Linked DNA regions of Diceros bicornis minor. The protein of the gene in region 1 interacts with the protein of each later gene in a pairwise test. Links are inferred from orthologs where the notes say so. Each region holds a gene or a part of one and is shown on either strand. Other genes may lie near its edges.

What was found. The genes of interacting proteins can lie anywhere in the genome.
Region 2: the proteins of CLK2 (region 1) and YTHDC1 interact in binary tests that used the Homo sapiens proteins (3 or more experiments, as listed by UniProt). The two-hybrid records come from large-scale screens. The link is inferred for Diceros bicornis minor from reciprocal best matches to the Homo sapiens genes CLK2 and YTHDC1.

What each region holds. Positions count from the first base shown.
Region 1 is NC_080743.1:59,140,049-59,147,671, forward strand, and holds the start of CLK2 (dual specificity protein kinase CLK2), read right to left. Parts: upstream 3,007-7,623; 5' UTR 2,924-3,006; intron 1,341-2,923; coding exon 1,171-1,340; intron 431-1,170; coding exon 202-430; intron 1-201. Other genes in the region: HCN3 (potassium/sodium hyperpolarization-activated cyclic nucleotide-gated channel 3), read left to right, coding at 5,857-6,140. UniProt on the Homo sapiens protein: Dual specificity kinase acting on both serine/threonine and tyrosine-containing substrates. Phosphorylates serine- and arginine-rich (SR) proteins of the spliceosomal complex.
Region 2 is NC_080747.1:54,209,177-54,216,562, reverse strand, and holds the start of YTHDC1 (YTH domain-containing protein 1), read right to left. Parts: upstream 3,010-7,386; 5' UTR 2,669-3,009; coding exon 2,641-2,668; intron 2,390-2,640; coding exon 2,327-2,389; intron 1-2,326. UniProt on the Homo sapiens protein: Regulator of alternative splicing that specifically recognizes and binds N6-methyladenosine (m6A)-containing RNAs.

The sequences.
Region 1 (7,623 bases):
ATGGTCTGTGCCCATCCATCTCCAAAGCAGATTCCAGGGCTCTCCAAGAGTTGGAGAGCTTCCAAGAGAGCAGACAAACTCAGTGCCCACCTCAGTGTTCATGCCCCAATGCTCAGCTGACAACAAGGATACTTCTCACTTACCAGGGTTCTAGAGGGCTGAAGAAGGGTGGGGAGAGGAAGGGCCTGGGCTGGCACTCACCGAAGATGAGCGGCTGAATGTCCGGCTGCGCCGCCTCCGCCGTCTGTGCTTCCTCCGGCTGCTGCGCTGGCTGCGGTAACTGCTGTTCTCCCGATGATATTCGTAGGAATGCCGGTAGTCTGCATCATAGTAGGCTTCTCCTCGATCCCGGCTGTAGTCGTTGCGCCTATAGCTGCCACAGTATCGCCGGTCATATGCCCTCCGGTCCGAAGAATGGTCATCATAGCTGCTGTTGGACAACAAACACCCATTAGGTACATCTGTTCAGGCCACATTCCTTGCCACACCACGTGACAAGGTCCTCCCTCAGTGAGGACAAAAAGTAATGCTAGAAAAATAGCTCTCAGACACTTATCAAGTCACTCTGAGAGGACCAGAGAAGTGAAGTAACTAAGCACAGAGGAGGACCCCCGACCTGCATGTCACCACGACCTCTGAAAAGAGATCTGCAAAAGAACGCCCTCTGGGGGCCTCTTGCTCCTCTCCAGTGATTCAATCCAACAAAGAGCCTTTCCTGACTGACATTTAGCTTTGCTCCAAACTATCCCTAACCCATCCCTCCTACTGAATATGCCCCTAAGTTATGAAAACCATGCAGATCTAACTTCGTCTTGTCTATTAGCTCATTAGCTACCTCTGGCCCCTAGTCTTTTGCACTTGCTTTCCCTTTGCCTGGGACACTCCCCCTTTGTCCCTCAGACAAGCTTAGATGTCACATTCCCTGGAAAGCTTTCCCTCAACTACACATCCTGCCCTATTCCAACCAAACCTGCTGGATGCTTCCTCAGCCCCTTACTATATACTTCCTCTACGGTAACACTCTCAATACCACAGTGCAAATGGCTTATTTTGCTATCCATCTGGAGCATCATCTTCACCCAGCTGTGTAGCACGTAACCGATAAATCCTTGTTGAACAAATGAATGAGTGAGTGACCTTGAATATGAATTTCTCTTCCTGAGGTCTCACCTCCGGGAACGGACATGGTAGCTGTCTTCCCGCCGGCGCCGCCGTGTCCGGTCACTGCTACTTGACCAGGAGCGGCTTCTTCGTCTCTTATGCTTTCGGCTCCGATAGTGTTCATGGTAACTCCCCCGGCTGCCTCGCTCTGAGGAGTGGTACCTTCGGGGATGAGGCATCTGGAAGGGAAGGAAAAGCAGAAATAGAGAGAAAAGTTCTGAGTTTTCACAAGTCTCCTCCGAGGACTGGCTGCTCCAGAGATGCTAAGCTGCTTTCTACTTTTATCTCTACTTCTTTTTACCACCCCCAACTTCCTTCGTCTTCCTCTGTGCCTACAATTCCTCCTTAATGGAATATATATTCACCTACTACTCGGGCTGAAAACGCTAAGAAGTTTCCCCCCTGCCCCCAATCTCTTAATTACCCCCCACTCAGCTCACTGCTCTACTCTGATTTTCCTCAAACACAGCTCCATGAAGACCTTCAGGTCTGGGCCACAGCTCACTACAAGTGAGATTGTGTAACTGATGGACACTGCTGGGATCCAAGATACATCTGTGCTATGCGGAGTTCCTCACAACTCAACAGAGTAAAGCTTTAGTATACACTATTATGATACATATTATCAGCCATTAAGTGTATCTTATCTCAACTATACCATCCGTGTCCTGAAGGCAGGAATCCAGTTTACTAGGTCTCTGCATATAGCAGTGAATACCAAATATAAGCAAGTTCCAGGGATCTGAGCCTAGCCCTTTGAACTAACTTAATCATCTCTCACATCTCTGGCCAAAGCCCCCCTTGAGAAGTTTTAATACAGGAGGCCCCAAGCTGCAGTCAGCTTCCCATCTGGCCTCGCAGAATAACTGGTTTTTAATTAATATCAGAACTACTTGGCTAAAAGCTGGCCCCTTTCCAGTTATTGGAATGCCACGGTGCACAAATCCCTTTTTTCCTTCAAGGAAAGAATCAGAGAGAAATGACCGTCACAATCCAGGAAGATGAGAACTGGAGGGCAGAATAAAATGAAATAGGCCCAGGGACAGGAGGCTTGGTGGGGGATAGTGAGAGGATAAGGTGTGGAAAAGGCTTTTAATGACTTCTACATCTGGCTCCCATTCTAAGCTACTTCTTCCCAACCTCCTTAAATTGAGGAGGAGGGTGACATTTGATTCATGACCTAACAGGGCTTGCACGAAGACAAGAAGATGTAAGTACAAGATTCTCCCAGGTAATCCAACCTTGTTAACCATAACCACATAAATATCGCCATATACATACTGCCACCAAGGTTCCTCACAGGCCTCTCCCCAACCCAAAGCATCTCCCACGTACAACCTTCTCAACTTCTAAATCTTCTTTTCCCCTTCTCACTCAGAAAACCCAGAACTCACTCCTAGAGTCAAACTTTTTCCATAACCTCCAAGTGACACGGTGGTGTCTTCCCCCTCTCCAGCCTTCAGCCAACTTCGATATTCTGCTCTTTCTCATCTCTGAAGGCACTCCTATCCCTACTCCATCACCCCTTCTCCTACTCTGGTCCCTCCCAAGTTTCCTATAGGTCTTCCCGGACACATCTAAGGCAGGCTAATCTTCCACCTCATCTCCCTACTCCTCACCTCTGCCGCTTCGCTGGTCTCAGCCCTCCCCCTTTCCTAATTCTCGCCCCGGTCCCTTGCTCCCAATCCAATCCTATCCCCCGCCCGCCCCGCGGCCGCCATCTTTCCGCGCGGCCCCGCGGCCCGCCAGCCTGCGCGCTCACCGTTCTGGCGGCGAGGCCCGTGCGCTTGTCCCACAGGAAGTCCGTGATGGCGGCGGCACTGCGGCCGGAGTCCCGGCACCCCCGCGGCGACGAAGTGCGACTCCACCCCCTCAACCCGAGACCCTGGGACCTCCCGCCTCGTTCCCGGGCTCCGCTCCAGTCCCGCCCGCCCCGGCTCCGTCCCCGCCCCCAGGCTCCGCTTGGCGCCGCTCGCACCGCCCCCGCCCGGGGCCCGATCCCAGCTCGGTCTCCGGCTCTGGCCTCTCCGATCCGTCGCCGCCACCGTGAGCGAGCACGTACGTACGTATGCACGCCCTGCGTCGCTTCCCAGCTACCCCTGGGCTCCGCCTCCAGAACCGCGCACGCCACCGCGTCCTTGCGTAGCTCGCGGGCGTCCGATGGTGTGAGCGGGGGAGGTGCTGGGGCGGGGGTTCATGGGGGCGGGGAGGGCGTCGCCGGGCTCCACAGGCCTGCTCCGCCCCGCCTCGTGTGGTTCCGTATTCGTCTGTCTTTTACCTTTTTCATGCACTTCTGTGGGTTCCTTAGGTTTGGAGATTTAAAAGAAAGGGTTGTCATTTATGGAGTGTCGCCGCTCGCCAACTTTTGAGGCTTGGCGGTGAGATCTGATTGTCCTGCATAGCCTGTAAATATCTAGTTCTTAAAACAGATCGGCCACCTAACCGCAGCAAGGAGGGGCTCCCACCTTTTGTCCTGAACAAAAGCTGTGCACATGTGGAGTCAGGGCCATGGCCATGAGGAAAGGTTTGGGAAGTGGAGGGATGGAGATTTGGGTGCTAAAAAGGGGAAATCACTTGAGAACTGTATGTTATGTACTTATACATAATATATGAGATGTGTAATTGAAAAAAAGAAGAGGAAAGAGAAGGAGACCTTGAGACAAATTGGCCCGAGTTAGAGATGCTATATAAGGAATTGAGAAAGGGAAATGAAAAAATAACCTGAGGCTAACTATATTAAAGTCGGGGAATATCAGAAGGGAGCTGGGATGGAGGATAGTCAGATGGAGATTAGACCAGTTGGCCAGAAATGGTTTAGGAAAAGTTCCCTGAAATAGAAGAGGAAGGGTAATGAAGGAGTTGAGAGGAAAGAGTGGGGAGTTCACTTCCTTCTCCATGAACACCTTCCCAGATCATTGATTCATTCAACAAGTGCACAGCTCCTGTTCTTCAGCGCTTCACAGTGTAATGGGAGAGAAAGAGCTGTAAACAAATAGTGGCAGCCTGTGACAACAGCTGTCATGAACAGTGGTGCCCTGGCCACTGTAAGAAAGCTCTATTGGGCCGGCCCCGTGGCTTAGCGGTTAAGTGTGTGCCCTCCACTACTGGCGTCCTGGGGTTCGGATCCCAGGCAGGCACTGACGCACCGCTTCTCCGCCCATGCTCAGGCCACGTCCCACATACAGCAACTGGAAGGATGTGCAACTATGACATACAACTATCTACTGGGGCTTTGGGGGGAAAAAAAGGAGGAGGATTGGCAGTAGATGTTAGCTCAGAGCCGGTCTTCCTCAGCAAAAAGAGGAGGATAAGCACAGATGTTAGCTCAGGGCTGATCTTCCTCACCAAAAAAAAAAAAAAAAGAAAGCTCTAGACTAGATCCTACCTGGGGAAAGGAGAGTTGGAAATGTGTTTCTAGGTTTCCTAGAGGAGATGACATCTGAACCAACTGTTGGAAAGTGAATTGGAGGAGAAGAATACCAGGCAGAGAAAATATTTGCAAAGGTCTGGAGACAAGGCAGAGCAAAGCATTTCAGCATGATTGGAGTCCTGGCTTTCAAGAGAGAGACTGTCAGAAAGTAGGTCCAAATTTTGCAGGGCCTTGTATGTCATTCTAAGGGGCTTAAATGTAATCCCATAGAAGACGGGGAAGTTTAAAGGACATTAAGCAAGTGATATAGCTACATTCGGATTTTAGGAAGGTAACTCTGGCAGACTGTGCAAAAAGAATTGGGCTGGGAGAGTTTAGAGACGCTTTTAGAGGCTTCTGAAATAATCTAGGTGAAAAAATGCTGAGGGCTTGAAATAAGGCAGTGGCAATAAGAAATGGCGATGAGGGGAAGAATTTGAGATGTTTAGGAACTTACAGCACTTACCACATAGCACTATAGTTTACCTGTTCTGTCGGTTTGCAGGCACAGACGAGCAGTGGCTTTATGGCTAGGACTTTTGTATTCATCTTTGTATCCTCAGCGTCTACTCGGTGACAGGCAGTCACGTTTGGTGAAGGTTAGCACAATGAATTCGGAAAGGAAATACTAGGAGGAGCAGTGTGGAGGAGATCAGAAGGAAGGACTATGCCTAGGAGAGTGAGAGTGCTGAGAGAAAGTGGAATGCAGAAAGTCCATGAGCGAGAGTGGGGAAGAATCTCAAAAGCCATTCCCTACCTCTTCCATTGGTCCCCAATCCCTCGCCTTCCCGAGTCTCACGAGCTACAACCAGCGTCCGGTTTTTCCGCCACTCGCAGGCGGCTCCACCTCCCCAACACTCAGTGGATAAAAGCCCATCAACTCTAGGCCACGCCCCTCTCCATGGCTCTGAGTTTCCCTACCTTCTCCTCCTACGCTGGGAAAACGGCCTCCTTTTGCTGAGCCACGCCCACCTCAGAGTCCCTCCAGGATGCAGGCTTTATTGGCCCCGGCCCCTCCCTGGATGGCTTTCGGACGGCCGCGCCCCCGCGCGCCCTGCCCAGCCTTCCCGCGGCCCTCGCCAGGGGGCGCAGCGCAAGCCGCCCGCTGTCCGCCAGAGTGTCTGTCGCACACACCCCCTCCGCCCCGCGCGCCGGCAGTTCCCAGCCGACTACGCCTCCGCTCCGAGCCCGCCGGGCTGCGCCGGCTCCGACTCCGGGAGGGGTCGGGGGGTCCCGGATGGCCGCGGTAGGGTCTAGGAGGCCAAGCGTGTAAGCCAACGGGCGTCATGGAGGCGGAGCAGCGGCCGACCACCCCGGCCGGCGACGGGGCGACCCCTGGGCTGGAGGCGGCGCCTCCTGCTGCCCCGGCGTCTGCGACCGCGGCCTCGGGTCCGACCCCTGGGTCTGGGTCCGGGCCCGAGCCCAAGAGGAGGCAGCTCGGGACGCTGCTGCAGCCCACGGTCAACAAGTTCTCCCTTCGCGTGTTCGGCAGCCACAAAGCAGTGGAAATCGAGCAGGAGCGGGTCAAGTCAGCGGGGGCCTGGATCATCCACCCCTACAGTGACTTCCGGTACTGGGGACCCGGCAGGGAGGGCGGGGGCACAGACCCTACCCCCACGGGCCGCGACACGGCCCGCTCCACGGTCACTTCATTTCCGGCCCAGGGGTCCCCGGGTGGGGCGAGAGAGTCACATCCCCCAACCTAGCCTGAGAATTCTTGGGCGAGGGATTCCCAGCCAGAGGTCTTCGGTGACTTCTCAGGCTGAGGCTGCCAGAAGGGACAAGCAGAGACCTGGATTTCCCGTTTCGGGAACGCGGCAACCCCCCAGGACCACAGGGACCACTGGAATTAGAAACCCCTGCCTCCTCCAGTCCTGCTTGCGGGGGATCTGGGAAATTATGTCATATTCCAAGGCTTGGAGTCAGCCTGAGAGAGAAACCGAGCTCTGCTATCTCCCACTCCCCTACTCCCACCTCCAGCACCTGCCCAGTTAAGCAGGGCAGGCTGCCAGGAAAAATAGGGACACTGGGAGGGAAATGGGGGCGAGGGTCGCGTCCTGACAGCAGTTCTGGTCGCTGTCCCCGGTGCTGAAGTCAGGATGCAGTGGGGCCGGGCCAGGACTCAGCGATTGAGGCAGCAACGCAGGGGCACGGCCACCGCCCAGGTGACTACCAGAGAGAAGGGACCGAGGGTGGGGGTAGGGCCGTTTCACAGTCCCCATCAGGCTGTACGTCTACATCAAGGTCGCTAGGGGAGGAGAGCAGCCCTGTCCTTGAGGCAAATGAAGGACAGCTTTTGGACGAGGCAAGGATGTGTGCAAAGCACCAACCTGGGGAGCGAAATGAGGAGAAAGGATGAGATGTGAATCAGGAGCCTGGAAACACAATTGGAGACCTAGACATCATCTTGAATCCACAGACATACACACTCCCTAAATGTTCCTGTTTCCCTCATTGTTCATTCCACTCTCCTCTTCTTTATTGCCTCATTCCTATCCCACCAGTGCACCTTTTCTAGTCTCCTGTGGATCTCCCTCCCCTCCCCCATTTCACCCTCATACGTATCCCCAGAAGCCGTGTATCCCCCTTACTATCGTGCTTTTTCTCTGTCCTCTCTACTGCATCACCCGCCAAGCTTGTGACTGCCTGTGAGTCAGGCTGTGAAGATGCTCTATGGCTAGGCGAACCCTCTCTTCTCTCAGCTCACAGTACAGGATTTCTCCAGTGGCCCAGGAGTGAGAGGAAGAGGGGGTCGAGGATTTGTTGTTGATTGAAAGCACACTGTCTGAGGGGCTTCCTGGAGGCCTCGACTTGCGGAACACCAAACTTCTTTCAGGGGCTGAAAGGATTAATTTTGTAGTCAGAGTCAGAAGGGGTTGGATCCTGGGGTCCCAACCCAGCTGGGTCCTGGGGTGATGCTGCGATTAGGTGTGTCCTGGAATTAAAACCATCATAGCTAATGGAGCCCCTCAGATTATCCAGTGACTTTCTCTGAATGAAGGCTTCACCTAGCTCCCTCCTGACCTCTTCTTTCCACAGCTTCCACCACAGCA
Region 2 (7,386 bases), on another chromosome or scaffold:
CGATTTACAACCTTGTAATCATTTATTCAAGGAACTGAGACACAATAACTGTACACAAGAAACCTGATGAACAAGACAGACATACTCCTGACCCTCATGAAGCTTCCAGTCTAGTAATGTAGAAAACATGTTACTTTTGAAAGTGGTAACTTATTATCCACATTTTGGATATATTAAACTTTGATTAACTTTTTTGAAGAGAACTTTATAAGAGCTTAAGAAATAAAATTTATACAAAGTGTTTATAATAAAAAAGATGTGTATTTCTGCATATAGAAAAATGGCATTTAACATTAGTTAACACCATCAACATTCTAATGTCTTTCAAATCCACTTTTTGGACAAATAATCAACACAGGAATCAAAGGAAGCTGGCAATCTGTCCAGTTATAACAGGCTTCAGCTTCCAGGTATTAGTATTACAGAAGCATTATAGAAGTTAATGCCTGTTTATTACACAGCTAACGCACAAAACCCAATAATCCAAGGACTCAATGACCAAGTCTTTTAACTGTTCTGTGATTAATAGCAAATTCTTGCCATTTAAACTCATTTCTGATCAAGATCTTACATTATTTATGTAATCATTTAAAAACGGACCTCAAGTTTGTGACATGTCTAAGATTCTTACAAGGTTTATCTTTGCCATTTCCTAATGTTTCATACAAGATAACTGATGACACTAAGTACTTAGTTTCCCACTTTTCCTTGTTCAAGTATGAGAAGGAAGAGTCAAGTACTGATTTTAATTCTGGCTATCATTCTAGCTGTGTGACTCAGTTTCCTTATTTGCAAAGTGGATTATTCTAGAAATCCTGCTACTCAAAAATTAAACAAGCAATTCCAGTAAGTTTGTATTTGCTAGCTTTCGCAGTAAACTAAGAGACAATCTTCGATCTAAACTATAAAGATAAGCACTTATATCAGAAGTTCTAAAATAGAGAAGTTCAATTATGGAAATTAAGTTTTTCAAAAACTACACAAATCAAGGCCTTTCAAAAGCCGGACAATTTATCCTAAGTACTGCTAATAGGTAGCGTTACTACTTCCCAATAATAAAGTTTAAGTATTTGGATTACATTTTCATCACTATATCCACTTCTTTGACAAAATTTCTACACCACCACCTACTTTTCTTCCTCAATGTACATTATGGAGTCTAGTCTATTACTGACTTAAAATTACTATGTTCATCTTAACAGACAACGAATTCTTGAGGAGTGCTGAGTTTTACTCATTTTATATTTGGTTCATCTCACCCACCATAACTGCCACCCATTCCCATACACACAGCTCATAAATAACAGTGACAGAATCAAGCATTGACTGAATTCTTATTGATTAAAATCATCTATTTTAATAACTAACTTTACTACTAATTAAAAGCAGTTTCTTTTATTCACTAACACCATGCAATCCTATGTTCACATTCCTTTCAGACTTCTCAAAAAAAGGGCAGAAGGGGTTTCTAGGATTCGTCTAAGGAAGTAAAATTAAGCTACCATAACCTAATCATTGAACTGCTTTAAGATAGGAGCAATATCTTAAACATATTCCCACCCACTCCACTTCCCAAGCTTGTCCCTATCCTACAGCAGTTTATTGAAGCATGAAGACTTCTTTCTTTTAAGGAGAAAAGATCACAGGCCTAATGCAACTTGATTCTAGAGCTCATTTAATAAATTCCCACCCCAAATTTACTAGCCACACAGAAGAGTAGATCTGTGAAATAAAGAGCAGCAGCTGTGCCATATTTTTTTTAACTATAATCTTTCGGTAATCTTAGGGTTGGAAAAGACCTTAAGGCACCATCTAATACAGACCACCCTCTAGACAGGTACTGATCCAGGATCTCCATCTCCAGAGCCTGGGAGATCGGTATTTCACAAAACATGACACTCCTTTCTGGCAACATCAGTTCTTTCTATATTCCACTGTAATTCTATCCCTCCAACTCTCTATAAATTACATCCATTTGCTCCTGGTTGTACTCTCCGGGAGTTAAGCACAATGTGTTTCTATCAGAATAGCGGCCAGGATTTTTTTTGCCAGGCCTAAATCATATAATTACCCTTCCAAACATCTTGTTTTCTAAAATAAGTGTTTGAGGAGCCAAACGGGCAATTCATGCCACTTTACCTATTTTACAGGAACAGCCACAAGTTACTAATAGATATTTCTCGAGATTAATAATCCACCTATAGCACTTCTTAAATATGCTCACTTACTATACTACCAGCTCTGATCGTGACATTCAGGGTTTTCGAAATTTCGCCTACCAGAAAAGGTTGTTCTGAAGATATGCATTACATCCGCATAATCTTACCAGCAAATAAACCTAAGGGCCTGCAACTCAGAACAGGCCTTGTCCCAGCCGCGCCCAGAACAGCTAAACGGAAAAAGAAGAGGGGAATTAGGATCAAAGAAAAACCATAGGCCAGATAAGTGTTAGGTCATAGGGAGATCGAGGACGTAAGGGCAGGCCTGATCTTTTCCAATGAGTGCAAGCGTCTCGGTCGGGGGGACCCGCTCCGCGCGGAGCAGGCTAACCCCCCCAACCCCCACGCGGCAACGACGACCACGGCTCCGTCGACCCACTCCCGAGCCCCGCCTCCGCCCGTCACCTTCCTCCGCACTAACCTTTCTCCTCCCGGCTGTCGGCCGCCATTGCTCCCCTCCTGTTTCCGCTGCTGCCGCTGCCGCTTCGACGCGAATCGCGCCGGCGCCGCAGCCGCGGCAGCAGTAGCTCGGAGGCGTCCGTCAGTCCGTCCGCCGGGCTGCGCGCTTCGCTCCTGGGCCTCTACCACTCACCCTTCTCGACTCACCCTTTTTCTCCCCGCTTCTTTCCCTTCTCCCTTTTCCCCTTCCCTCCTTTCGCTCCAATCTCCCGCGGCCTAGGCCAAGCCTTCCCGTTGGGGCTAGGGGACCGGAGCGGGTAGGCGGAGGGAAGGGAAACAGATGGCGACAGCGGGCGGCGCTAAAATGGAGCCTGCTTCCTGCGCGAAACAATCCCGCTCCCGAAATGCCCTGCGCTGTTTACGCTTCGTTCCTCCCTGGGAACGTCACAGTGCGGAGAGAGGCGGGGAAGCAGGGCGAGCAAGGGAACGTGACGTAACGTCAGCACGTCGCCCCGCCCCCCGCAGCCCGGATGTCCGTGGAAAGAGTCTCATTGCCAGTGATTAAGCGGCCGGAGTTATTTAAATCGAGCCGCTGCTGTGCTGTGTACGCCTAGGTGGCGCAGTTTTCTCGACTGAACCGGGTATTCGCGTACTTTTCAGCCTAAGAGCGAAGATGCTTCGTGTCGCTCCGCGCTACTCCTGATTCCCTTCTGGAAATCGGAGATTTATTTAGGACAAGTATGGGCCTTTGCCTTTGCAGTCGGCAGGGATGGCAGTTGTACTTTCACAGTTGGTGTCCCGGGCTTCAAAGGCAGCACAGGATGCAACTAGCTCACTTGTCACAAAAGCATACTAGTTTTGTTTTTAATTGGGGAAAGGAATTATATTGTATTTTAATATAACTTTGTAATTCACATAATAGCAAATTTGATTTAAACATTTATTGAGGCCCTGGGGTACTCAGTTGATTAAAGAGACTATTGAGAAATTGAAAGTACAGAAGTGACCAAAAACTACTTAACTAATAATATGGTGAAAGGTACATAAAGTTTATTATCCAAAAGAATAAAGATGTAATTTTGCTTCACTACTCCATGACTGAGTTTACAAGGGAAAGAAAATTTGAAAAAAAAGTAACATTGTTATGTAAAAACAAACCAATGGCATGTTCAGAGAAAGAAAAATAATCTAGAGTTTCTTGGTCCTTGATGGCCTTTATAACAAATTGAGACCAAACTAAAGGCAGTGGGAAGATTTTAAGCAGTGGAAAAACACTAAAAGAGATTTGTTTGGAGCTGTTGGAGGCTTGCAGGGAAAAAAGAGAAGGAAAAACAAGTAAACATAACACCCAGCTATGTGTTAGATGCTTAGGAATCAAGGGTGAATAGAATAGTATTTCTGTCTTTAAAGAATGTTCAATATAATATAGGGAAGAGACAATAGGAAATTAATGTTGAGAAATAAATGAAAAGCAATAAGAAAAGTATATATAGAGACAGACAGACAGACAGAGTATATAAGGAAGCCACTTGGTTTAAAACTAGTTTGGCCTGACCTTGTTTTTCCAGGAAGGCGTGTCATAGCCTGTGAAGCATGCATTGTACATCTGCTTTAAACATTTACAAAGCAAAGAATGATGCATTTAAAGATAAGGATGTATGCCTCCCCCCATATCAGCGTTTTTTTTAGAGATAAGCACTTTGTCCCAGAAACTAAGGGTCAAACTGACCTACTGTGTACATCTTGTGACCTGCTGTGTTTATCTTGTTACCACTGACCTGCTGTGCTAGCAAAACAGCTTGTGACTGTAGTAAAAGAGATTCCTGTCATATTTGATATATGTTCTTTGTTTCAAGATGGTATATAACCATGCTGTACACTTCACTTCTTTGGAGTACTTCCTTCCTTGGTGAAGGCGCCTTCCAGGGCTATGTGGTTCTCACACGGGCTCATATGATAAACTCACCCCAAGTTGTTTTATAGATTTATTATGGATTGTTTGTATTGATGTCGTGTAAGAATAATGGTTAAAATTGTGTGTTCTTACTGTGTGTGCCAGGTACTGTTCTGAGCACTTGAAGTATACGATCTGATTTCCTCTTCCAAAAATGCAATTAGATTACTAGCTCTATTTTACATAAATGGAAAGTGAAGTAATGTGAAATTAAAGTGCCCAAAGTCACAAGTAGTAGTAAGAAACATGGCTCAAATCCAGGCAATTTGGCTCTAGCCCCCACCCACTTGATATTACTGCATCATGTAGCATACTCTCAGGATATTGGAATCCTTAGAGGCATGTCACTCAGAGTGATGGGGGGTAACAAGGGGGGTTCCCTTTCTGAAGAAGGGAAAATAAAGCCTAGTTGAGAACTAAACAAATATTAGCCTAGGTGAGAGGGAGAAAGGGCAAGGGTAATGTTAGAAGGATAGTTTTCACGTAAGCAAAGGTCCTAGGTGGCAAAGCTGCCCATAGTTCAATTCAAGTCGATATTCAGTGGTTAGGTAAGAAGAGACTGAATCAAGAAAAGCATTATAATGTAATGTTCTACTCATTTATTAGTTCAGTCAACTAGTATTTATTAAATTCCTATTCAGTCCTATATTGTTATAGATTCCAGAGTTAATATACATATATAGTATAGGATCTGGTTTCTCTCTTCAAGGAGTTCAGGTTTATGTTCTAGTTAGGGCGACAGGGCATAAGTAAACAATTACATGTGATGAATTCTAGGAAAGAAACAAATAAAAGGCTAATATGATGAGGCAGAAGGACTTTTTATGTAGAAAAACCGGTAAAGCCCTCTCTGAAGAGGTGAAGTTGAGACTGATACCTATAAAAGGTGGAGGTAAGAGTCTTCCAGGCAGAGAACAGCACGTAACAAAGGTTCTGAGGGAGAAAGAGGCTTTAGTGTGGTCAAGGATCTAAGGAGAATGCCAATGAGCTGGACCCCAGACAATGAGAGGGCAAGTAGCTGAGATAATGTTTGAGGGACAGGACACACCTTAGGAGTAAGGGCCTAATCAGGACCCAGCCTGAAACAAAAGCAGTACAAGCTTTGCAGAGAGAATCTCCAGGTTGAGCCCACTGGAGAGTGGGAATGGAAAATGTCTTGGGCTTTCCACAGATGGGCACCCATAAAGTGTAAAACCAAGCTCACACAAGTTCAAGATGATCAGCACCTCTCAGAGGAAGAGAACAAAATAGAGTCTGTGAAACATATTTTTCACAATATTCAGTTTTAAATCAGGCCAGGACCAGGTCATATAGCATAGGTTGCAGACTGGTGCCTGCTGACCTAAGACTTTCCGTGAACCAGTACAGTGTATGCTTTTATTGAAGTTTAATGCTTTTAATCAGGGCACACAACTTCCAGTGAGGCTTGGCCTCCACCATGCCTCTAAATTGCCTTACTCCTGGCCAATATTACTGATTGGAGTGTATATCTCTCAAGTGTGTGGATTCAGGAAAAAAAATTGGCAGGGCCGGCCCAATGGTCTAGTGGTTAAGTTTGCGTGCTCCACTTCAGCGGCCCAGGGTTCCTGCATTTGGATCCCCGGTGCAGACCTACATACTGCTCATCAAGCCATTCTGTGGTGGTGTTCCATACACAAAATAGAGGAAGATTGGCACAGGTGTTAACTCAGGGACAATCTTCCTCAAGCAAAAAGAGGAAAATTGGCAACAGATGTTAGGTCAGGGCCTATCTTCCTCATCAAAGAAAAAAAAAATTGGTAGTTGAGTTCTGTTGCCCTGGGAAGATTATGTAGAGTGAAGAGTAAAGGAGACTCAGTCCAGAGTCTTAGAGAATATCAATATAGGGAAAGCAAATGTATAATATGAACCTAGAACATCTTGTCATACCAGACAGCAGTGATCAATGAATGCTAAGGTCCTGTCAAAATGACTCAGAAGAGTTCCTAACTAAAATGGCTCCCACTGGCCAAATATGGACATTTTAAGCACTGTAAAGATAAAACTGCGTTGGCTTGAAACATATCAAGTATGTTTAAATCCATGAATTCATAATAGTTCAAAAAAATTCATCAGTCCTCTTTGGATGATGCTAGGGAACCAGTTCATTATTTTGAAAACTAGCAAACAAAGAGAAATCATTCATCCTGTGTTTGCAATTAGAACTGTATCTCAGGGTTACCAAGCAAGTAGTTGATGAAGGGAAGTTTCTCTTCATAGAATTATTCCAGGTAATATATGGCTAGGGTGAAGCAATGACAGAACTAGGACATCACCATTTTACAACCATTAATGAAATAAACAGATCAAGGCAATGGTTTTAATGGCTCCTAATTAATATAACAAAACGACAATCAGCTGTCATGTGCCTCCTGATGGAAGTACATAACACTATCTATGAAGTAGTCTTGCCAAAACATTAAACCTGGATCTCATAGACTTTTGTCAGTGGTTCTCAACCAGGGGTGATTCTGCCCCCAGGGGACATTTGGCAATGTTTGGAGAAATTTGTGGTTACCACAGCAGAGGGAGAGCTACTTGTATGTAGTGGGTGGAGGCCAGGGATGCTGTTAAACACCCTATAAGGCAGAGGAAAGGCTCACTCTCCCTAATAACAAAGAACCATCCGACCCATATGTCAATAGTGCTCATGTTGAGAGATCATGCTCTAAGGCACAGGTAAAGCACAGATGAATATGTTAAGCAATCCTGCACAAATACCATTAGCAAAATCCAGACAATAGAAGACTCTACAGGACAAACAAGTAGCCATCTTCAAAAATAAAATGCAAGGAA